3 linked regions of the Kluyveromyces lactis genome follow. The main gene of each other region encodes a partner of the protein of the gene in region 3 in a complex. Links are inferred from orthologs where the notes say so. Each region holds a gene or a part of one and is shown on either strand. Other genes may lie near its edges. The genes, in order: NUP49, NUP188 and NUP120.

The links.
Region 1: NUP120 (region 3) and NUP49 share a complex: the UniProt entries of both Saccharomyces cerevisiae proteins name them as parts of the nuclear pore complex. The link is inferred for Kluyveromyces lactis from reciprocal best matches to the Saccharomyces cerevisiae genes NUP120 and NUP49.
Region 2: NUP120 (region 3) and NUP188 share a complex: the UniProt entries of both Saccharomyces cerevisiae proteins name them as parts of the nuclear pore complex. The link is inferred for Kluyveromyces lactis from reciprocal best matches to the Saccharomyces cerevisiae genes NUP120 and NUP188.

Annotation. Positions count from the first base shown.
Region 1 is NC_006042.1:2,088,973-2,092,141, reverse strand, and holds NUP49 (FG-nucleoporin NUP49), read left to right. Parts: upstream 1-1,448; coding exon 1,449-2,666; downstream 2,667-3,169. Other genes in the region: chromatin-binding exonuclease XRN1, read right to left, coding at 1-907. UniProt on the Saccharomyces cerevisiae protein: Functions as a component of the nuclear pore complex (NPC).
Region 2 is NC_006041.1:971,934-976,211, forward strand, and holds the start of NUP188 (Nup188p), read right to left. Parts: upstream 2,887-4,278; coding exon 1-2,886. Other genes in the region: inorganic diphosphatase PPA2, read right to left, coding at 3,141-4,034; RSN1 (Rsn1p), read right to left, coding at 4,251-4,278. UniProt on the Saccharomyces cerevisiae protein: Functions as a component of the nuclear pore complex (NPC).
Region 3 is NC_006039.1:1,080,459-1,084,813, forward strand, and holds the start of NUP120 (Nup120p), read left to right. Parts: upstream 1-1,529; coding exon 1,530-4,355. Other genes in the region: FAR8 (Far8p), read left to right, coding at 1-1,145. UniProt on the Saccharomyces cerevisiae protein: Functions as a component of the nuclear pore complex (NPC).

The sequences.
Region 1 (3,169 bases), on a different chromosome or scaffold from region 3:
TTTTCAAATGCAAATCGGGCAAATTTGGTAAGAAATCATTACCGATGGTAAATAATACAAAGATGAAATCATCTAATACTCTTTCAAAGTCGTATTCAAACTGCACAGAATCTGTTATTTCTTCGAACTCTAATGCCAAATATTCTCTCAAGATAGACAAATGCAACAAGAAGAAGTTCTGTGTTTCTAGAGTTTTCACAGAAGACGAACGTTTACCAAAAGTAACTTCTTCTCTTAATAAACAAAAGTGGTGATCATGGGTGGATAAACCTAGGATGATCAAATCAGCATCTAACCCGTAGATACAATGTCTTGTATTTGGATTGTAATCCTCTTGTGCTCTAATTGCTCTGATGTAATCCATGATCTTATGTTCACCTTCACCAGGAACCTCATGCCCGGAGAAAATAACCTTCACGTTCTGCCATCTGGTATCGTTGGTGATCTTGTCATGGATGAAATATTTCAAATTCTCGGTTAATTTTGCCATAAATTCTGTTCCTGGGGTAATAGCGTTGGAATCAAATGGCTCTCCCTTAGGCAACTCGTCACCATTTTCAATGGCCTTCTGCAAAGCCTTTTCGGCATCCATGGCAGTTCTGAATCTACGAGCTCTTTGTTGGTTCATCTTTGCTCTTGGGGCCACACCATCGATTGCCATATAAAATGTCTGTTTTGGTTTAATAGTATGGAAAAGATGATCAATATAACTGAAAATTTTGGAATAAACTTCTTCCTCTGATAGTCTTGAATTCACCTCGCTACCATCACCATGCGTACAATTATGCAAAATAGAATTCATATCCAAGTACAAATTGTCGAACTCTGGAATCTGTGATCCATCGATCAATTGAGAAATTTGAGGCCATCTCTCAGAGATGAAATGAAAGAATTTTGGAATACCCATTTTTAGTTAAGCCACAAACCGTAATTAATTGAACACTTTCTGAGGTTTGCTTTACTGACTTTTTTCCTCCAACAATAGAAAAGATCAACAACAACTGGGATTGGATAGTACCAGTAGTATACGTTGCCGAACAATGAGTAACCACTTTTAGTGAATTGTTATAATATACCCTGATATGGATGAAAGACCCTGAAAGTACATTAACCAAAGCTACTGTTTAGTAACATAATCGTTAAGGTAATTTGGTAATTCTTTCCAATGTTCAATCGGAATATTTTTCTTGGTGGTGGCAAAATTTTTTGAGACGAGGTTTATGGGTTACCCGGATCCATAAGTTCAAGCTTTTTTTTCTTGTTTTATACTCTTTGATGGAAGAGTTGAAAACATTTTGAATATGGAAACTGAGAAAGTAAACAGATGAGGTTAAAAAGAAAGATGGAGAGAGCAGAATTGAGACACCAATTGATACTGAACAGTAAGTTGAATTAACTGAATTTACGGCGTGTAAATATCTAATACTCTTATTACTGATAGAAACGAAATGTTTGGCCGTTCTTCTTCTACAGGTCCTCCAGTAGGACCAAGCACAGGAGGAGGATTATTTGGGAATACGGGCAACCAGCAAAGCACTAGCGGTGGTCTTTTTGGTAATAACAATGCCACATCAGGTAACACTGGAGGAGGGTTATTTGGAAACAATAACAATACAGCGACACAGACTGGCGGAGGATTATTTGGCAGTAATCCAGCAGGCACCAACAACAATACGAACCAAACCGCAGGAGGACTTTTCGGAAGTTCTAATAATACAGCCACTGGCTCCACAGGTGGCCTATTTGGTAACTCAGGAGCCGGGTCTGGCGGAGGCTTATTCGGGAATAAGTCAGCACAACCACAGACCACTGGTTTTGGAAGCTCTGGAACTGGAGGAGGATTATTTGGATCCAAACCAGCACAACCACAGACTACCGGTTTCGGAGGCTCTGCAACTGGTGGAGGATTGTTTGGATCCAAACCAACTACCGGAGGCCCATTCGGAAATCAACAACAGCAATCCCAACAATCTGGTTTAGGAATGTTTGGACAAACACAAAATCAATTTCAACAGCCACCACAACAACAGATACAACAGACTCAACAGAGTGCCATTAATTTCATTAACCAATTAGCTATCACGCCGATGACCAAGATATCGGAGCTTCCGATTCAAATTCGTCAAGAAATCGAACAATTGGACCAATTCATTAGAACGCAAGTGTCTTTATCCAAACATCTTGAAGCTGATCTACAAGATCAAACTGAACTATTGGATTCAATCCCTCGTGACATCAAGTATCTACAAAAATTGCATTTCAACGCAACAAGATCACTATCATCAGATTTGAAACGAATCGATGCCATCAAGACACTAGTGGATAAAGATGTTAAACAATTGGAAAATTTTGCTATAATGTTGCAACAACTAGTCAGTAAGGGATTCAAAATATCAAACGTTGAGATAGATAAGTTCTTCCAGGAAAAATTAATCACATACAAACACAAATTAAATGACTACAACGACACTCTAAGCAATATTGACGACGCAGTGTCAGGTCTAGAGAATGATCTCTTTGGGAACGATTCATCCGAAGATGATGATACCAAGGTCGGTGTTAACATTATCGTCAGCGTTCTAATCGAAGAGTTCAAACTATTCATGGATACAGCTGAAAGAATAGCAGAACTGCATCAGAAGTGTAAAGAAATAATAGTTAAATAGTCGATATTATTCTTTTAATACTATAAAAAAAGAAAGCGTTCAAGAACATATTACCTATTGATGCAGATCACTAACTCCTGCACATGCACTGCACCTGCACCGCATCTGCCACTTGTCTCTTCGCAGTCTTCTCTTCTCAGGCTCCCTTTATCTTCCCTTCCTTATTTAGGTCAATGAGTTGTGAAAAAAGGGAATTTGATACGACAAATATAAAAGGAATAAGGATTAAAAAATGGTTAACAAGGAGTAACAGTTTTCCCGGAAACGAAAATGTGAAACAAAGAACAAAGGAAAGGCGTCCTGGTTTTGTGATTATACTCAAGAAATATATATAGGACTGATAAGAATTTTAGAACGTTGCTGGCAACTAACTATCATTATTGGAATATCAGAGACATATTAAGTGTGACATTTTAGTATTAATTCTGTCAGTATAAACTTATTGTAGATCAAGCTTCAGGCGTAAAATCAAGGAGCTAGGAGATTTTTTTTTTGATTAAAGC
Region 2 (4,278 bases), on a different chromosome or scaffold from region 3:
GCAATCTAGCTTCAAGACATTTTTCTTAAGGAGAGAAAGAATTGATGTTTCAGAGGCGCTATTCGATGGTTCTGATTTTTTTGGGGAAGAGCCAACGGATATGGTTTCGCCAGTAACTAAAAGAATAGAGAAACCATCCTGCTTTCCTTCCATAACGGAAGAAAAGAATCTGTATAAACTCTTCAGAAATTGATAATCATCGATTGTACTTGCGAGGTCGTACAAGATCGAATTGAAAATCATCTTGGAGTGTTTTTGGCCCAGATACGATAAAAGAGATGGGAAGTTTTCGGCCCAAGGGGCTCTCACAAGGTGCGTCATGAGTTTGATTATTGGATTTCTTAAATCATTGTGTAAGGCGTAAATGTCAATTAACTTCGGCAAGTTGCCATATATTTGTGATTCCAGAGTGCTGGGAGGTAATTGTAACATTGCACGGACGGAGATTAAAAGGTTTGCTAATTCATAAGACTTCAGCAAACATTGGTTGTACTTATTGTAAAAGACTTCATTTCCGATAGAGAGTGCTTCCAATGAGTTGCTGGATAATAGAACATGCAGTATGGAAGTGACTGTTCTTACATCTGGTGAGTCAGAACTTAAAAAGCGATTCGTTATGTCGTTTGCAGCTGATGATAGGACTTTAGTAATTTTAGTTTCTGGCGGATTAGATGGATCGATACCATAAATATTGTAAACGACAGTCGTAAACAAGATGGTTAAGTTTGTTCCTAGCTCATATTTCTCAGCTATGGAACGATAGTTCCAGTATTGATAACTTTCATAAACATGTATGAAATGCTGAAAGAATTTCGAAAGAATTTCCTTTTTCAGATTTTCTGGGAATTCTGTCTCTAGTGTTAGAGATTCTAGAACTAATTGTTGCGCCAATTTGATAATCTTGATTGTTATTGAGTAGTTTCCATTTGGTAATTCCATGGTGCCCAAGACACTAGAAATCAATCCGGATTTGCCATACCTATCAAGGAGTTCAGATCTTGCTAAATGCGACCATACGAACTGAGAAAAGTCATCTATGGAACTGATGAGTAGGTTGAGACAATGATCAATAACGTCATAGTCTCTTAAATGCAAAGATTGTTCGAAGACTTTGAAAATAACATCAAAAATGTAATCTTCTGTAAGATAGGTAGACATTTGTAGTAGAATATCGGCCGATTTCTCCACCGAGATACCACTTCCTATAACACTAGAAATTAGATCCAGCATTGATAATATCATTTCCTGAACATCAGAATCTTGAACACCAGCAGATGAAGTGGACAGATATCTATCGCATGCATTTTGAAGGACTCTACCCAATAATGACCAACCGTTATATTTATACAAGAACATCACGACGTCATCATTAGTTACTGAAGGTAAGATCTTAGCCTTCGTGTCCTTCGGAATTGGTAAGAGAACATTCCCACTAGGTTCCAACGGTACTCGAGCAAAGGTCTCACTCTTTATGGATATCAAATCTGTTGAGTGTGCATCATCAGCTAAGTCGTACTCTAGACTTCCCAATACAACCTCTTGGACATAGGTGGGAAGTTCCTTCCACTCAAAATTTGCAAATTCAGCATTCGCTGAGGTTATGTTTATCATTGGAATGAGTGACTCTTTCAACAGCGGAGCCTTTGTTTTTATCAAGAAGAATTTTTTCTCAAATTCTTTGTTTGTCAAGAACTTTTCCACATAATGAGTTGGTGCGTTACTGAGGACAGTTTTGATCATTTTGGAAGTCTTTATACTGATTGGAACGAAATACAACGAAAAAGTGATGAAGGAAGTCAGTATAGCCGCAAAGAAGGCTTGATCTTTGAATATTTGTGAAACCTTAGAAATCTCTTCGAAAACATTTTCATTCTCTGCAGTAAGGGCAAACTCTTTGATTAGCTTCGAAATGGGTTGTGAGTTGAAGACTTGCTGCACGAATTCCAGATTATTTTCAGGATCTTCTTCTAACAGATACGATTTGGAATATAAGATGAAAGACCAGTAGTATACAATAATTGCTGGCGGATCTGTGTTTATTATGAGATCTAGAAGCCTTCTGAAAGTCGCAGCGTCATTAAAAAAAGACGATTTTACGTCTATCGTGTCTTCGCTTGTATTATATCCTGTCATTATAATAGTATCCATTATCATTAAAGAATTTGCCATGTTGTAGATCTCTGATGGGACATCTTTATTATCCTTGAGTATGGCGAAATACTGTGTTTCTTCGAGCAACTCGTACCATTTTGTGATAATTTCCAGACCCACTGGTTGATTCAAGCTTACGAATGCGATCAAATTCAATAGATTTGTAATATAAATAAGATCATACGACATTAATGAGCTCTTATAAGAATCATTTTGCTCTGCTGAGCCGATAAGTGCTACACAGTTCTTGACCAGAAGAATTGCTTCTGATATCATTGTGGACCTATTCTTGTAGACAAGTTGTAACATGGAGCCCTTTAAAACTGGGAAAGAATCATGATTTAATAAAACGAGGGTTGTATCCAAGACACAGTTTCTTTCATGTAAGATCTGTTTAACGATGGTATCTTTTTCCATTGGACAATCTGGGAACCTGGTCCTGGTCTGCGAAATAACTCTCAAACACTCTTTTTGATGTACATTTAACGCAATTGAAAGCTCATTGGCCAATTTTTCGTCCTCTACCGTCACATTATATGAATAACCCCTCAATTGCAGCTGTTTTCCAACGGAATCAGTGTTTTCAACTGAGGTAAACCTCGAAAGATGAACCAGTATCTCTTCGTTGTCCTTCAAGAATTTATCGATTGCCTGGAAAGTAGGCTCATTATGTACCTTATCGTATTCCCCAGAGCGGAGAAACGCACAAATTCCAGCAAATGATAAAGATGACATGCTGCACGGTACACCTGGCCAGCGCAATAGCCTTTAGTTGACGTGAATCTGTACCACTGTCTCATCGTCTTAATTGTTAGATCGAATAGTTTCATTAAATATAGTTTTGTTTACATTAAAATTTTGCACTACATATGAGAGAGGGTAACATCAAAATATTGGACATGTATATCATAAAGGCATAATAAGAGGAGATGAGCTGTGCCAGGTTAACCTAACCGAAGAAGCTTACTGACCACTGACTGCTTTTAAGTTCATACATAGTACCATTTGTCCACTTCTTGTGGGATTGGTGTGTCATTTTGTTGATTAGGTTCAACTCTTATGTGAGTTCCCGCTCTGACAATGGAGGGAATCTCGGCCTCTGATCCATCTGCTTTAATTTCTCCCCTAACTAGAGCATTCCAGGCTTCGTGACATTCTTGTACCGTAGAAAGTGTAGATGCTTGGTCCTGGTACTCACCTTCGAATGCAAACACATTAGGTTGTTTCCCAGCAGGAATCTTGTAATCTCTGAACCATGTTCTAGTTGCATCCAAGAGACCAGGCATAACAGTGTCTACATCTGCCAACTTGTTCAATTTTATAGCAATGGGATCTTCAATGTCGATACAAATGACTTTCCAATCGAGTTCTCCATCGTCAATGAGGGCTAATGACCCTAGAAGCTTTACTTTTTTGATATCTCCCATTTTGGCGATGCTGGAACCAATTTCACAACAGTCCAATGGGTCATTATCACCCTTGAAACCGGGCAATACTTCAATAAGTGGCTGTTCCCATGTCTGTGGGATAGCCCCATAGTTATGAATGTATCCATGGTAAGGGAAAATGTTATTGACAAATCGTGGCTTGCCTTTCTTTATGTCCTGTGTGATGGGGTTAAATGGTTCGGTCTTACTGATTTCAAACTTCCCATTACTCCAACGTGGAACCTCTACGATCATGTTACATGTTTTGGCATCAACATCTAAGTCTAATGGCACATCGTGGAAATAGGACCCAATTTCACCGTTTGGCAGCTGCAAGTACTGTTTAAAAGACGATGAGTATTTGCTTCCAACCAAAACGTTGTGGTAGTTTCTAGCATGTAAATGGTTGCCAATCAACCTCAAATGTTGCGAAGCCCTTCTCATATCTCTAGACATCAATTCCCACACAGCAACTATGGAATGAATCCTTTCTGTGGGATACCCAGACTCGACTGGACCACGATTCCTTAGTGTTTGGTTGTAATTCGGTAAGCTTGAAATTTAATAGACAAATTATTATTTAATCAGTGATTAGTGGAAATATTACAAAAAGATAAATTAAAAGCTTACACAACATGGTAAGAGAAAATGGCTTAGATTGGATCTTGACGATTATTCCTCTCTCTGAAGATTATCTTCA
Region 3 (4,355 bases):
ATCTTATCATCAATGATAAAGAGGCCAATAGTACCAGCAGTGATGTCCCAAATATCACTCTAAACAGGGATTGGAAAGATGTCATAAATTCACCCCCAGGAGATGACGTTTCTGATGCCGAAACTGTAATAAACACAAGGCGATCAAGATCATCGTCCTTGTTCTCAACACAATCCAATGAGATGCTCAAATTCCATACTTATCGTTTCTTACAGTATCATTTATCTTCAATTAGCAAATTGAAGCTTCTCGGAAACAACATGCTATCTTTTGGCTCAGATGGTTTACTAAAGCACTGGCTCATTGAACCTAGTTTGAACTCTAATGAAAAGGCAACCAAGGCGTTTCACTGTGTGCCTAACCTCTTGGGTATTTTTTGGTTGAATAAAACAAGGTTTATGACTGTGGATGAAACTTCCGTCAAGTTGTGGAACGTAAGCCAGAGCGACCCTGTCATATCTTGGGATGGCCTCAAGGATTTAGAAGGCTTACAATCTGTAGATTTCAAAAATAAATGGCTAATTTTGACTTTCGTTAACGAGATACGGGTCTGGGAAATTAAAATCGATGACTCCAGTATCGTTAAGGTTAATGAATTCGTCATTTCAGTCCCCAATAAGATTCTCAATTGTTTGTTGGGATTAACGGAAAAATCGCTTATAATATTAAATGGTAGTTCAAAACAAAACGTAAAGATTTCTATCTTCGACTTTCAAGGCTCCCTTTTACAACAAATCGATCTTTCTCATTCGCTGACCCAATTCCATCACACAAATAATGAATTAGCATTGAACAGGTCGACATCAAAATTGCTTGTGAGATTCGATACAGAAACTCTGATTTACTCTTTCGATCAGAAGAAGACCATTTTAGTGTCTTCTACCGCAGAATCTGCTATTTCCTCGATTTTCCTCAATGATTTGGAGTACACTGTCACCGCTTTGAAGGATGGTTCAATACTCGTGAAGTCAATCAAAGAAGATGGTAAAGTAATTAGAAAATACAATCATTATGAACACCCTGAGAAGGTTCCCGCTGAAGTGCAACCAATTGCCATTGCATCCACAGTCATAGATGATACCCCTGTAATCGTTTCTGGTGGCTATAACGGTGTGATACGACTAGAAAAAATTATGAGCTTATGAACGCAATGCTATAGTAATCAAAGCTGCCGCTATAATTCAAAGAGAAATATAGGAAAATAATCTATAATGCTCATGTAAAACAGTACAAGACGAACGTCATCGTCTATAGACATGGTATCCCCAGAGTACCTATATAATCCTCCTCACAACATGGAAATTATTGCCCAAGCGACCTTAAAATTCAGTTATAAGTTACCCGGATAATATTGTTTTCATGGTTACAACAACAATGAGAAAAGACATGTTGAAATCAATCTGACATGAAGTGGAATCGGTAAACAGAAGAGAACAGCCACCAGAGAACTTCAATTACAGGCTAAATCGGAACATAAACCTACAACATTACTATTGAACAGCTGAGAGGTAAAGCTGAAACTGCGAAAAATGACCAGCTTTTCTCGTCTGAATACAAATTTACTACAATTAAAATCGAAGCACTCATCAGACAATGCCCAACATTTATACGTCAATGGGAATGTTGGATCATCTACAGAAGAAATAACTTCCGTAGAGTACAGCAAACTGTTGCAACTAAAATTAATTGATGAATCGTTGTCCTTCCAATGGTGTAATAATTACACTGTTTTGAGTATTTACTCCATGAAGGAAACTTTTGCAAGGAAAACCATATATATCCACTTTCCAAAACCTCTTCTGAACAAATGGTTTACTGCAGTCGTATACGAATCTAGTGAAACGACCTCCAACCTATGTTTTGATGTGATTTTAAAGGATGGAATTTTCATCAACCTTTCATTGCCTATCGATTTTATTCTATCGAGAACTCGTCAAAATGAGTATCCTGAGAATTGGTTGAAGGTTTTAAACCCGTATGATTTCTCAGTACGTCCTCCACAGTGTCTATTTCATGTTGATAACACCTTCAGTGTAGTATTTCTAAAAGATGGTGGTCTTTTGGGGTTAAAACGTATTCCGCTCGAAATATTAAACGATTTTGAATTGCAACCTGTCCTATTCAATGATAGTTCATACTTTCAAAGTTTTACAAGAATGTTTTCAAAGTACGATAACCACAACTCTGCAGTGGTATCTGCAGAACTTTTGAATGACAAGTATCTTGTCACATTAACGAATGATGCAACCATTAAAATCTGGGATTTAACCACATATCAACTAAATGCGCATTTCGATCTAAAAGAGAAAAACCAGCAGGTGAATTATGGAGCTGCCGGAAAATACATGATAATTTGTGGATCTCTCCTGTTTGTATACCTACCTGCAGGTAATGGATCGTTCCAAGTCATTCAATTAGAAAATACGCATTCTTCAAGAATCTCCTTCAAACCATTAAACGTTAATATACCTCTCAATCTTTCATCTTATTCAATATGGTCTTTAATTGACATTCAATTAGTAAAATCCTCAATTGTCAAACAATCGGGACTCAACTTGGTTTTATTATGGAAAAGTAACACAGTGACCAAGCTACAACTACTCTCCTTCGAAGACTCTCTGTATAGTAGCTACAAATGGATTGATGGTAACAGCACATACCTCTCTGATTTGCTTGATGACTCAGACCTAATAACAAACGGAAATATGGAAAAGGCTCTCCTCAATCTCAAGTCACACTACTCACAATCAACGTACGATGACGCACAAAAGATACTGAATAAAAATAATGTCATGGTGCAGATAAATGATCCTCATAATCAAGATTATTTGAATAATCTAGAAGCTCTTTTGAAAGAACTTCATAAACAATATCAGGAGCCTTCAACTCTAACTATTCTTGATGATGAGATAATTGTTGTTAACAGCTTACACATGTATCATCATTCCACGTATAAGTTAGACTCACAACTTGAAACAATTTTCTTTAACATTTTTGAGAGAAAGGAACCCTCGTCTCAACTAGAGCTTTTCTTAAATATCCTGCATGGTTTTTCAACAACCATTACATCTGAAACGTTAAATAAGATATCTGAGAAGTTCTTAGACATGGTAAATGGTTCAATAAATCCCTCGTTATCATTGAAAAATAAAATTACCATTGTCTTTCAAGATTGTCTAACAAATGGTTTCCAAAGTGCTAATTTATCAAAATTGTTGGAAAATCTAAATTCTATTGATGTGGTGGAGGTTTTATCCGAATTTATACACTGTGATTTGAAAGTAGGTGCTTTTTCAGTTATTGATTTATTAGATACTGACATTTTCTTATCTGTTTTGTCTATGGAATCCTTGAAGCAGACACTCTCCATTATGGATAAGTTTATCATTGATATATTGTTAGTATTCACTATTGTGGATATCAACTATGAAGTTTTTGCAGAGAAGTTGTCTAAGTTAATTACCTTGCACTTCAATATCTCATTGTGGCTCCAAGTGTATCAAATAGATAAATTATTGGCAATTTCTGAGACCTTCGGTCATGTTACTAAATACAATTATGGTGCACAATTGAAATCTTACAGCGATATAACCGACTTTACTACATTAATGGTTGGTTTTGTCAAGAATTCTCCAACAGCTGAACCTCCAATATTTACAAGAGCCTTTTCCGATTTCATATTGAACGGCGAAGATTTGACTTGTGCAAAGCAATTCCTACACTTTGTTGCTAAGCCTTACCATGTGTCCAAGGATCCAGTAGAAGAACTACTATATGCTCTTTCTTTGTTCAAATGCAATGAATATGATGCATCTATTGAAATATTCTTGGCAAATGACTTCTCTGATGAGCTCTCACTACCTAAATATCTGGAGGTTACTGAAAATCACGTTTGGTACAATCTCCTTCATGCGATCAATACAAAAGATAAACCAGCATACTATTATGAACTTTCAGTTCTATGTTCCAAAGCTTCATCGTATGCTAATGCTTTAAAAACCATCAAAAAATCTATATCACTTGATGGTACAAGAGCAGATCAGTTGATACAATACTTAGATACATTGATAGTATTTGGCGATTATAAAGAAGTCCTGGATGTATTGAGGTTGGAACAAAAAGTCCTTGATATAAGCCTAAGAGAAAAATACTATTATACACTGCTGAGTGATCAAAAGTACAGTGAAATGTTCACTGCAACTTTACTCCAAGAATGCTACAATGCAAACATTTCCAACGGATCCATACTATTATGTGTGAGTGATTATAAAATTATAGCTTCAATTTTATCATCACAAGTTTCTCTCACTGATTGGAACAGCTATAAAAAGTTGTTCTCTTTCAGAATACTAAAT